3 linked regions of the Rattus norvegicus genome follow. The protein of the gene in region 1 interacts with the protein of each later gene in a pairwise test. Links are inferred from orthologs where the notes say so. Each region holds a gene or a part of one and is shown on either strand. Other genes may lie near its edges. The genes, in order: Mtus2, Gtpbp10 and Taf13.

What was found.
Region 2: the proteins of Mtus2 (region 1) and Gtpbp10 interact in binary tests that used the Homo sapiens proteins (3 or more experiments, as listed by UniProt). The two-hybrid records come from large-scale screens. The link is inferred for Rattus norvegicus from reciprocal best matches to the Homo sapiens genes MTUS2 and GTPBP10.
Region 3: the proteins of Mtus2 (region 1) and Taf13 interact in binary tests that used the Homo sapiens proteins (3 or more experiments, as listed by UniProt). The two-hybrid records come from large-scale screens. The link is inferred for Rattus norvegicus from reciprocal best matches to the Homo sapiens genes MTUS2 and TAF13.

The regions. Positions count from the first base shown.
Region 1 is NC_086030.1:12,111,966-12,115,713, reverse strand, and holds the start of Mtus2 (microtubule-associated tumor suppressor candidate 2), read left to right. Parts: upstream 1-1,210; 5' UTR 1,211-1,884; intron 1,885-3,748. UniProt on the Homo sapiens protein: Binds microtubules. Together with MAPRE1 may target the microtubule depolymerase KIF2C to the plus-end of microtubules. May regulate the dynamics of microtubules at their growing distal tip.
Region 2 is NC_086022.1:29,430,538-29,434,285, forward strand, and holds the start of Gtpbp10 (GTP-binding protein 10), read left to right. Parts: upstream 1-1,145; 5' UTR 1,146-1,221; coding exon 1,222-1,254; intron 1,255-3,114; coding exon 3,115-3,308; intron 3,309-3,748. UniProt on the Homo sapiens protein: May be involved in the ribosome maturation process. Complements an ObgE(CgtA) function in E.coli ribosome maturation. Plays a role of GTPase in vitro. When missing, disorganization of the nucleolar architecture is observed.
Region 3 is NC_086020.1:198,892,475-198,896,216, forward strand, and holds the start of Taf13 (transcription initiation factor TFIID subunit 13), read left to right. Parts: upstream 1-857; 5' UTR 858-900; coding exon 901-927; intron 928-2,069; coding exon 2,070-2,148; intron 2,149-3,742. UniProt on the Homo sapiens protein: The TFIID basal transcription factor complex plays a major role in the initiation of RNA polymerase II (Pol II)-dependent transcription.

The sequences.
Region 1 (3,748 bases):
GCTTTACAGAACACCCAAATAGGAAAGTGAAGGGCTTGCAGGAGGCTTTTCTATCTTTCTAGGTTTAAGTCAGGCTGGGGGTTTGTGAGTTAGGGGAAGGGAAGGACGAAGGCTTAAATGAAATGCGCTTAAAGGTTGATTTAGATTAGACTGGACTTTGTAATAACAGCCAGTCAGACCGCTTGTTAACACCCGAAGGTGACAGGAAAAGCCATAAAATGTGCCCTAGATTCTTCCAGAAGAAATGGGAAGCCACATAGAATAATGTAAAAAGACAGCCGTGTGAAAAGCGCTCTTTCATGATCTCTCTTCAGTATATAGACCAGTTAGTAAATAACTAAAATAAAAATCAGTTGGTATAAAATGTTGCTCGGCACAGCAGTGCTGGGGTGGGGGAGGGAGCGCAGTTTCCCACACTCTCGACCCCCAAGAGAAAGCGAGCAAGCGAATCAGCAAGCCCATTCTGCTAGCACCTCGTAGTCATTTCTCTGCCAGTCTGTCCCAAGCCTTGGGAACCAGAGGCTGCTGAAGCCCTCAAGCTGTCTTCAGGCTTCCCAGGTGCGCTGCTTTCAGGCGACCTGGAAGAGCCACTGAGAAGTCCCGCGTTCATGTTTACTTCCGAGGAATGGTGTGCATTTCGAAGCAGACAAGCTCGCGTTGAGCCAAGAGTCTTTCAAGTGGGTAGCCGGCTACGCATTGCCCCCAGAATTGGAGGCAGAAGCAGGAGGATATCTGTGAGTCCCAAGTGAGATCCTGCCTCAAACAAAAAGACACCCCACCTCACCCCGCAGCCCCGCCAAACCCGCACACAGCCTCTCACACAAAACCCTTTCACAGCCACTTTAGTCTCTTGTCCATCAGCCCCCCTACCTCCCTTCCAAGTTCTCCCGCCGGACCCCAGCTCTTCTTGCCGCACGTAATTAAAAGAGGCTCTCTCTTCCGATTGGACCACAGCACATCCCACTCGTGGGAGTCCGGGCTCTAGGTCGGCGACCTCAGGCTGTTTCCCCTTTCCCTGGGGTCTGAGGCTGAATGCTCAGGGCCACTGTGGTCCCGTGAGTGCAGGGTCGTGTCCAGCCGGCAGAGGGCGCTCGGTTCCCCCACGGGGCTCCGGCCGAGAGGAGGCGCCGGGGCTCGTGAGCATCTCCGGGCGGCCGGGAGGGGGTGCGCGCCTTGGGCCGCTGCAACCCGGCTTCTGTCACCGCGGACGGCACCTCACTGGAGGGTGGGCGGGAGCGGCGTCTTTGTCCGGCGAGGCGTCCTCAGCCCGGGCCATCCCTGTAATCGGAGCCGGGTGGCCTGGGCGGTGCCCAGCGGTGAAGTGCGCGGGCGGAGGGCTGGCTGCGGCCACGGCCCCAGGTACCCTGGTGCCCCAAGCTCGCCACCTGCGCCACCTCTGCCCGCGCTCTGTCAAGTTGCAGAAGACCCGGGTGGGTCAGGAGTCTGGACGCGTGGGCGCGTTGCAAACTCCAGCTGCGAAGGAGCTGCGAGCGGAGGTAGCCCGGCCGGGGATGCTCCCGGAGGCTGCCCTGGTCTCTCTGCACATCCTTCTTGGCTCCTCCAGACTCAGGTGAGCGACTGTCGTCCGCGCGTCCCGATCTGGCTGGAGACAGGTGCAGAGCGGGGCGGAGGCGGTGCCTTTCCCTGGCTTCTCTGGCATCAGAGCGCCCGCTCCCCGCTGCCCACATCTTCTGCTCCGCCGGAGAGAGGCTGCAGCCCACTCGCACCTTCCGGGGATGCCAGGTTGAGCACGGTGTTTCAGAGGCGACAGCGGGTTAGCCTAAACGAGCTCCCACCCCTCTCCACCCCCAGCTCGGGATAATTCGGTCCGTGCCTTCGTCTTAATTTAGCACCGATGTGTTATTTCCTTGGAGCTCTAGAATGGTAAGGCTTGCTCCATCCATTTTTTTTTCAACCCCCTTCATTCCGAGTCTGTGCAGGGAAAGGAACTACAGGCTTGCAAGTGATGTTACTACCGTTCTATTTTAGATACAAACACCCAGAGAAGTACGCTTGGCGGCGTGCCAGAGGCGCCTGCACTCTTTGTTATGTAAGTGCTTCACAGGAATATTTGGTATCTGGTAAAGTTAGGAGCGGTTACCAGAGAACGTAAGAGCGCAGGAAGTCAGAGCCATAATTTCTGTCCTAGATCAAAACTTTCCTTCAGGATAAGCATACGATGGCTTCGATATCATTTAAAGGCGACGCGAGGTCCTTTCCAAAAAAAAAAAAAAAAAAAAAATCATACGGTAAAATCTCAAGCGTTAAGACACAAAACAGGTTTTTATGAAGTCTGTTATGAAAACCAGTGGGACGTCTCTGACAAGAAATAGGTGGGAAGTGATTTAAAGAAATAGGTCCCCCGTCACATAGCCTTTTTGGCTTTTAAACTGTTAGGTTTATTTTGCTGTCACGTGGGCACGGCTAATTGTGAGTTGATCGCTAATAAAGATCTCTGCTCACACGTACAGTAATTTTTCAGGTATAAAGACGAAAGTGGAAGGCATCAGATGCACATTCTGTCCCTACTGGCTTCTGGTGATGGCGTTTGTTATGTGTCTGGCTTTCTGGTGCTTGACATGTGTAGTCAGGGCTAAGACTGTTTGGTGGGTATTGCTTCGGGTTTCGTTTAGTCTCAGTGCAGCGTAAGGTGTGGTTCTGTGGGTTCGAGGTACCACAGCCATGCGTGTGGTGTATAGGGAGAGAAACTTGTGTTGGACTGGAGAGAAGCTAATAGATTTTAGCCCATGTCTCTTTTCATTTAAGTGATTTTCCTGCTTGTTTTTCTTGCAAAGAAAAGCTGTGTGTACCAGGGACCCTTAGTTCCACAAAGGGTACCCATGGGAGTCTTAGTGTGGGGTACAGTACATTACGCAGAGGAAACCCTGAAAGTTCAGTAGTCTTGGGGAGAGGGAGCGTCTTCTTTTGTTTGCATAATAAAAAAAATCAAGTTTCACCAAGGATTATTTTTCTCACTGAATGGACGATTTCATATACTATATGGGAATGCAAACTAGTCAATCAGGTGCAAGCCTTTTCGGTATTTTTAAGGACAGAGGGAAAACTGGCATCTTTTATAAGTGTACATTTCCATACCTTGGGGGCGGGCTTACCGAGGCTTTATGGGAGATTATGTAAGAGCCACGACGGTGGTGCTTCTGGTACTCCGTTAAACTCTCTGCTCTGGCTATTACATAATTGACACGGAACTAGGCTGTCAGAGCTGAAACCGTGGGGGAGGATGTATAAAGACCTAGGCTCATGTGGATGCACAACACACACACACACACACACACACACACACACACACACACACACACACACACGCCCGAGGCTTTCTAATGAATTGTTGCTGCCCAATTAGAGGGAGCAGCAGGGACGGTCGTTTGTGAATGGGAGATAAGAACTGGGGAGGATGGCTGGAGTAGATAACTGCTATGTTTAGCAATTTTCTAGAGATCTCAGTGCTGGCTGGAAACTTCTGCAGCCCTTTACATGCGGACTGAGACCCAGAGGCTGGGAATCTTGGGCTTCTGGTCCCTCACCTGGACTTACTTTGGGAGGCCCCGGGGTGGGGGACACTGGCCATGTATTTATGTGGTTTTGTAGTTTTGGGTTCTTTTTTAAATAGGGAGGATTCCATTGCTACTCTCTCAGCCCCCAATTTTATAAGTCCAAGTTTCTATGACTCGAATCTGTTCCATTATGTTTAAATGTTACCTTATGAAATAGCCTTTTCTTTTAAATT
Region 2 (3,748 bases), on another chromosome or scaffold:
GCAGCACTTTTCTAGATTTAACAGGAAAAGTATGATGACAGCAACTTGATATTCTGGTTCTTCAAAAGGTTAAGTATGTTGATCGAGGACTTTTCCCTAGCTGGAACCTGGCAAAGGCTAGTCTTGGAACTCTGAAAATTGCAAAGTTACGGGCAGTCTGCTACATGCCTGCGTGCTAGACTAGAAAACAGGGCTCTGGTTTATTCGTGTAGATAAGGTTCTGCATCCTATACAATAAGATGAGGAATTTGTGAAAGGGGCGAGTCCTCGCATATGGGAAGAAAGGAAAGTAATTTCACCAGACCAGGGGATTTTACAAAACGATCTTCTTGTGCCAAATCACCAAGTCAGCCAATTTTGCTCCTTTTCTATGCAGGTGTCCCTTTCTTCTGAATGGTATATTAAAACAATTTCACTTTTTATTAGTTTCCTAACTGTTATCTTGTTCCCACATTTTCACACCTTAACAGGACAGCTTCTTCGCCTCTTATTAAAACACCATTTGGAAGTACACTGGGTGGAAACTACTGCTCTGTCTAGATTCCTTTACTATTCGAGGGTCTTTTTCTGATGCTTCCTCCCCAAGCTGCAATGTAATCTCTCGTGTTCTCACAAGGGCAGCCTTCAAATGATAGGTGAAAACTCTTGGCTGAGTCCAGATTGGGGTTTTTGTTTATTTCCACTGCAAACATGATTCTTTGTGCAGATCTAGATCGTTGCGTTTCTTTTAATACGCCTGTGCTACAAGTTTTAAGTGATTGGTTCCTTGAAGTTAAAACCTTAGCTAGAAAAATTACTCAGGTCGTCATCCAGCAGTCTTTTAAGGCTCTCCGTGTCTTACACACGTTTTTGTTTACTCCTGTTGGAGGGTTCTTCACCTCGAGAAAATCCTGGCACCTCAGGTTCTTCAGCTACCATAAAAATGTTTGTGAAGCAGGCCAGTCTCCTACGCACAGCGTTTAACTAAAGAGACTCCTACCCTGAGCTCTGCTGTTCTTTGCACACAACTTAGAAGAATCTCACTTCCCTTTGCACTCCCCTTTCTACACTGGGAGACTCCGAGAACTTCCAAAGCACACGCCCACCTTCCGCGAGGGCACTGGACTACGCACGCGCGGATCCGCTGAGACGTCACCTCGGCGACTAGTAGTGACGTCAGAAGGCGCGCCTGGCCGAAACCTGTCCGGATTCTGCGGGCGGGAGTCCTGCCCCTTGGAGCTCATGGTGCGCTGTGGTTGCGCGTTGTTGAGAAAGGTCCGTGTCAGGGGCTCATCCCCCAGCTTTGCTGTCTCTCGCCGCTCTTCTCCTGGGTTCCTTAATTCCCGCTGTCCTGGGAGAAGACTGTCTCTGTAACATGCTTACCCCTGTTTGGGGTCCAGCTATAGGGAATTCCTATAATGTTCCCCAAAGCACGTGGGAGGATAGTTGGGCTACCTGACTGCGGTTTAGACTCGGCATTACGGTGTACGAGCCGTGCAGAGGCTTTTTTCTGTGTTAGTTTTGGTTCTCGTTGTTTAAAAGACTGTCCATAACCTTCTTTTATACGTTTCCCCTCCTTGGCACTGCTTTTAATATTTTTCTGAAGACTTTTTCTGGAAGCCAAAGTGTGTAATTGCTGTACTGCGTACAGAAATTTTACGTCAGTTTTTATGTAATGCCTGATTTAGAATCCATTTTTATAACAATCTGCAACCAACTGCTTCGATTAAAAAAAAATCACAGTGAGCTAACTAGCAACAGTTTGTGAAAGTTAGAAGTCACCTTATTACATAAACTGTTGTTATTAACAGCCATTTAAGATTGCAGCTCTTATAAATGAGCTTCCCCAAGAAATATGACAAATCTAAAGAATAAAGGAAAAGTCACACATTGAGTACAGCTTTAAAAGCCCTTACCAAGAATATCTCAGGGTGGTCAATCTTCAGTTTTTTTAAACCCACAGATATTTTTGATACCCAAAAATATTGCAAGTTGACAAAAATGTGAATATTAATTTACTCTGTAATTTGAAAGCCTGGGATTAAGACACAAGAGCTTTATAAGAAGTTACTTATGTAGTGAGGCTAACTAAATGTTGATTAAGAACCAGAAGGTATAATACAATGTCTGTGAAAGCCTGCAAAGCCAGAGAGTCAATGAGAGCGATATTTCAAGGATGGCTCAGACCACAAAACCATAAACCACAGTTTAGTTGTATTTGAGGATACATTGAAACTCTGACACCAGAAAATGGGTTTATGATAGAACAAATGATAATCTGTGTAGAGGAGAAACCATGACTAGAGTGGCAGAGAGAGTGGGCAGCTCAGAAAAGAACAGTAAAGCTCCAACAAGTGATGGTCACCCTGGTGAGATCTGCTGAGGGTTTTGAATACAGCACTGTGAACTTTATTATTTCATAAGCAGTAAAACCCCAAAGTCACGATTGTTTCTGAGTAAAGAGAAACATAGACGTCAGGTTCACTTAAGGGGAAATAAAGATGCTCTTGGCTCCTGGTGGTGTGTGCATTAAGAAGGAATGACGAGACCCTGAGAGACCATTTGGAGTTAACAGTCAAGGTTCTAAGGGAACAGTGATTCTGGAAAGGAGTTAGGCTTCTTGGAAAGCAAAAATTACAGTAAAAAGATATCCGTTTGTTCAATCTAGATGAGCAGATAATTAACTGAGGGAACAGCTTTTTGTTGCTGTTGCTGCTGCTTTTAGAACATTTTGTTTGGAGGGATCCATCCAGTGGCTACCCACCAACAGGTTACTCATTTAAAGGGTTTTTCATGTAAACAGAAGGCAGTTCTGCTTTCAGTTGTTTTAAACACTTAAAAGCTTAACCTTTTCACAGGGGAGCATTACTAGTACCTACTGAGGTCACCCTGAAGAGAAGGTTTAGAATGAAAACGGGAAAGGGCAGACTCCTTGAGGCTAGGTGAAGCATTTGATCATTAAGGGAGAGAGAGTGGGAAAGGAGGTAGTGCAAGAAAGGGCTATACATACAGGTGCTATACAGACAGCTTTGATTCTTTCCTCAAAGAAGCCTCAGTAGAATGAAACCAGAACCTTTTAAGTTAATAGAATATTTGATATATAAATATCCTCTCTTTCTCTCTCATTTTCTTAAGTATGGAAATTTCATTGATAATCTAAGAATCTTCACCAAGGGAGGAAGTGGTGGAATGGGCTACCCTCGTTTAGGTGGAGAAGGTGGAAGAGGTGGTGACGTCTGGGTTGTGGCCCATAAAAATATGACCTTAAAACAACTTAAAAACAAATACCCTCAGAAACGGTTTGTGGCCGGAGGAGGAGCAAACAGTCGGTAAGTGCTTATGGGGTGGTTCTCAGCTTCATGAAAGTCAAACTCTTCTGGGGAAACCAGAATATAGAGCTTTACTAATAACTCAAATTACCTTCTGTATTCTCATCAAGCATAAGTCTAACATGACTATTTTGGTGGGTTTGACCTTTGTCCATTTACTCTCCCAGTGTCCCTTTTCTATTTCCTCCTGGGAATAGATGTTATCTGAATCCGTACTTTGTTCCAAACTTACCTTGGGCAAAATTTCAGTAGTGCCCCAGCGGCTCCCTACCGTGGAGAGGCTTTCATTTATAGTTCTTCCACCCAGATATAACCACTAGCCAGTTGGACTTGACTTTTCTAATACATTTCTGTGGTTTTACAAATGTAATCATGTGTTTGTGTATAAAGTCCAGCATAAAGAAATAAGATAACAGAGCACAGTATTTTACAATGCCCTC
Region 3 (3,742 bases), on another chromosome or scaffold:
ATGGAAGCCAGAGGACAGCCTTGTGGAATCTGTCTTCTTACCTTTCACTTTTTATATAGGCCCAGGGATTAAACCTGAATATTAGTCTTATTCCGTGAGAGCTTTCACTGACTGTACCATCTCTCCCGCACATCTTTTGTAATTAAAAAACCAAACCCAAACCCACCCCCCTCATAAAACCCAATGTACACACACACACACACACACACACACACACACACACACACACACACACACAAAATTACGGAGGCAGGAAAGATTGCTCTGCAGCTAAGAGCATTGGCTGCTTTTCCAAAGACTTGAGTTTGATTCCCAGCCCCTACATAGCGGTTCACAATCATCTAACTCTAGTTTCAGGGAATTAGTTGCTCTCTTCTGGCCTCTTTGGCGCTGCGAACACATGGTACACATGCGTGTCTGCAAAACACTCATATACATAAAGATTATATATATATTTTTAAAAAGTATATCTATGTGGGCTTGTGTACTTGAATGCATCAGCCCCAGAGGCAAAAATTCATCATATTCCCCTGGAGCTGGAATTACAGGCATTTGGGAGTCTCCATTAGTATGCACAAATTTATCATTTATGATTTCTGAGATATGGGCTCATGAAGCTTGAGTGGTCTCGAACTCTAAGCTCTCTTGCCTCGGCCAAGTGCACGGAATTTTTTCGGTATAGTACACCACGCCTGGCATCTTTGTAATTTTTAATCCCTTCTTCAGGATTCCACGCCTAAGTACGCGTCACTGATTTTCAGCCAATCTCAAGGCCGGGGTTAGGAGAATGAGAGTGCACACCCATCTGCGCAACTCCGGCCAGGCCGGAAGTGACGCACATATCTTATAAATCTTGCGAGCCGCCCTTGGGCGGGCTCAGAAGGCTGGCGGGCTGCTAGCATGGCAGATGAGGAGGAAGATCCCACCGTGAGTGAGCGCCCGTCACAGCCTGTTTCCTCACTCCCTCTGGCTCACTAGCGGAGGCAGAGTCTGACCCTCCTGAGCCTTAGGGAATCCCGCCGAGAGTTCGGGGTCTCCGCGGTGTTTTCCTCTTCCTTCGGTTTACCTTAGTCAGTGCGTGGGGCAGGAAGGGAAGGAAAAGTAGACAGGATCTCCTTTTGATCTGGATCTTCCTGACACTGAGAGTCTAGAGAGTCATAGGAGATCAAAGCAAATACTGCGGAACCAGCAGCCCATCTGCTAACAAAACTAGTGAAAATAGTGGAGAAAAGATGAACTAAAGTCAGGAAGTTTGAGATCCAGATTCTCCTTTGGAGTTATTTAACTTAAGGCATCGGTTTTCTTGTCGTGAGATAGGGTCAAGCCCAGTTAAGGAAAGTTTTTAGCCCTGTATTGACAGGTGCTTAGTAAATGTTGCTTCTGATGGCAGCAGAGAGTAGATTTTAAACTATCAGGTCTTTTACAGTAGTAGCATTGCTTAGCAGTATGACAACTAAATGGGCTAAAACCAAACCCAGAACCTGACGTCCATTTGAACTTCACACACACACACACCCCGGGTAGGGTTGTTAGTTAGGAGCCGTAATAAAAGACTTCTTGCACGACTTGAGAAGTGGAATAGGACATAAGAGCCCTCTGATGCTAAGTTTCTATGACTTTGTGCTGTTTGCCTTAGCTTACCACTTTTGAAAATGCAAAAGGGTCACTGGGCATGGTGGTGCACACTTTGAATCCCAGCACTCAGAAAAGGATCTCTGAGTTCCAGGCAGACGGGCACATACCTTGTCTCAAAAAAAAAAAAAAAAAAAAAGTCTAGAGATTTTGCTTTAGTGCATCTGGCTACCTACAGCAGTTAGACCCCTTTTTTGGCCTCTACGGGCATTTGCAGGCATAGTCAATGTAGGCACACACAATACATATAAATAATAAATGTCTTTCAAAAAAAGATGAAAAGGGCACTGGAGTGTAGCTCAGTGGTCAATTAACTGTTTAGAATCGTGAGCTCCTAGGTTCAATTCATAGCACTCAAAAGAGAGAGCAGGAGGAGACTCTGGAGAATATCACGTGCACTGCCATCATTTGACATTTCTGTATTTTTAAATTTCTAGTTTGAGGAGGAAAATGAAGAAATTGGAGGAGGAGCAGAAGGTGGCCAGGGGAAGAGAAAGAGACTTTTCTCTAAAGAACGTAAGTTGTACTTTCCAATGCTTTTATTACAGGTGGTGAGAGCTTTTAAACATGTCCTTGGAGAGTAGGTACATTGCTCTGCATATGTTTGCTTAGAGGGACAGTGTTCTCAGACTTGCCTGTAAGGTTGTTTTTATTCCTGTTTGTTTTTGCTTTTTTTTTAAAAAAAAATTATTTTATGTATATGAGTACCAGAAGAGGGCATCAATTCCATTACAGATGGCTGTGAGCCACCATGTGGTTGCTGGGAATTGAACTCAGGACCTCTGGAAGAGCAGTTAGTGCTCTTAACTGCTGAGCCATCTTTCTAGCTCCCCTTGTTTTTGCTTTCTTTTTTTTTAAAGATAGGCTCTGCATAGGCTTGGCTATATTGGTGCTCACTGTTTAGCCCAAGCTAGCTTTGGGTGGCGGTAGTCCTCCTGCCTTAGCCTCTCAAGTATTGGGATTGCCGGTGTGCCTCCTGTGGTTGGTATAAGTCTCTTTATCATGTATACTAATTCTCTCTTTGTGACGTAAAATAATGAATGTGATTCCCCCCCACCCACACATACACTTTGAGGTGGGTTTTTTTTATTTTATTTCTTTTAGTTTTTTTTTTTTCCTTTTCTTTTTTTTTTTTTCGGAGCTGGGGACCGAACCCAGGGCCTTGCGCTTGGTAGGCAAGCGCTCTACCACTGAGCTAAATCCCCAACCCCTCTTTTAGTTTTTTTTTAAGATTGATTGATTGATTATAATTACACTGTAACTGTCTTCAGACACACCAGAAGAGGGCACCAGATCTCATTACAGATGGTTGTGAGCTGCCATGTGGTTGCTGGAAATTGAACTCAGGATTCCTGGAAGAGCAGTCAGTGCTCTTAACCACTCAGCCATCTCTCCAGCCCTCTTTGAGGTTTTTGAGACAGGGTTTTTCTGTGTAGCTCTGGCTGTCTTAGAGCTCATTCTGCAGATCAGGCTAGTTTTGAACTCACAGAGAGATACATATGCCTCCACCTCTGCCTCTGCCTCCTAAGTGCTGGGATTGACACTGTGAACCACAGCCACCCAGCTGAGGCAGGGTTTTTATATCCCAGTATGGTTTCAACCTTGGTATGTAGATGAGTATGACCTTGAACTTCTCCTGTCTGTATCCCTCGTGCTACACATAGGCCCATATGTCATGATTCCCAGTTTGTTTAGCTAAGGATTGACCCTAGTTGTGTGTGTTAGGCTAGCACTCAGCTACTAACTGAGCTACATTCATTGCACCGCTGCCCCTCCCCCTTTCTGTTTTTTTGTTTGCTTTGTTTTTGTTGTTGTTTTTCCCTTTCTGTGTTTAGCAGGGTCTCATGTACCCTAGATTGGTCTTGTATTTATTACGTAGCTGGGGATGACTATGATGTTATATTCCTCTTGTGTCCACCTTTCAAACGATGTAAGTTGAGGCTTTGGACTAAGGCACTGATCAGGGCAAGAAAGTGAAGTCTGGGGTACTAACAGTGTCGTTAACCTTCCATCATACTCCTTAGGCAGACAAGTTAAATCCTTAGAGCAGCAGGGTGAGCTGTTTCCTCTTGTCATGCCAATACTAATTCCTGAGAATGCCCTCTCCATC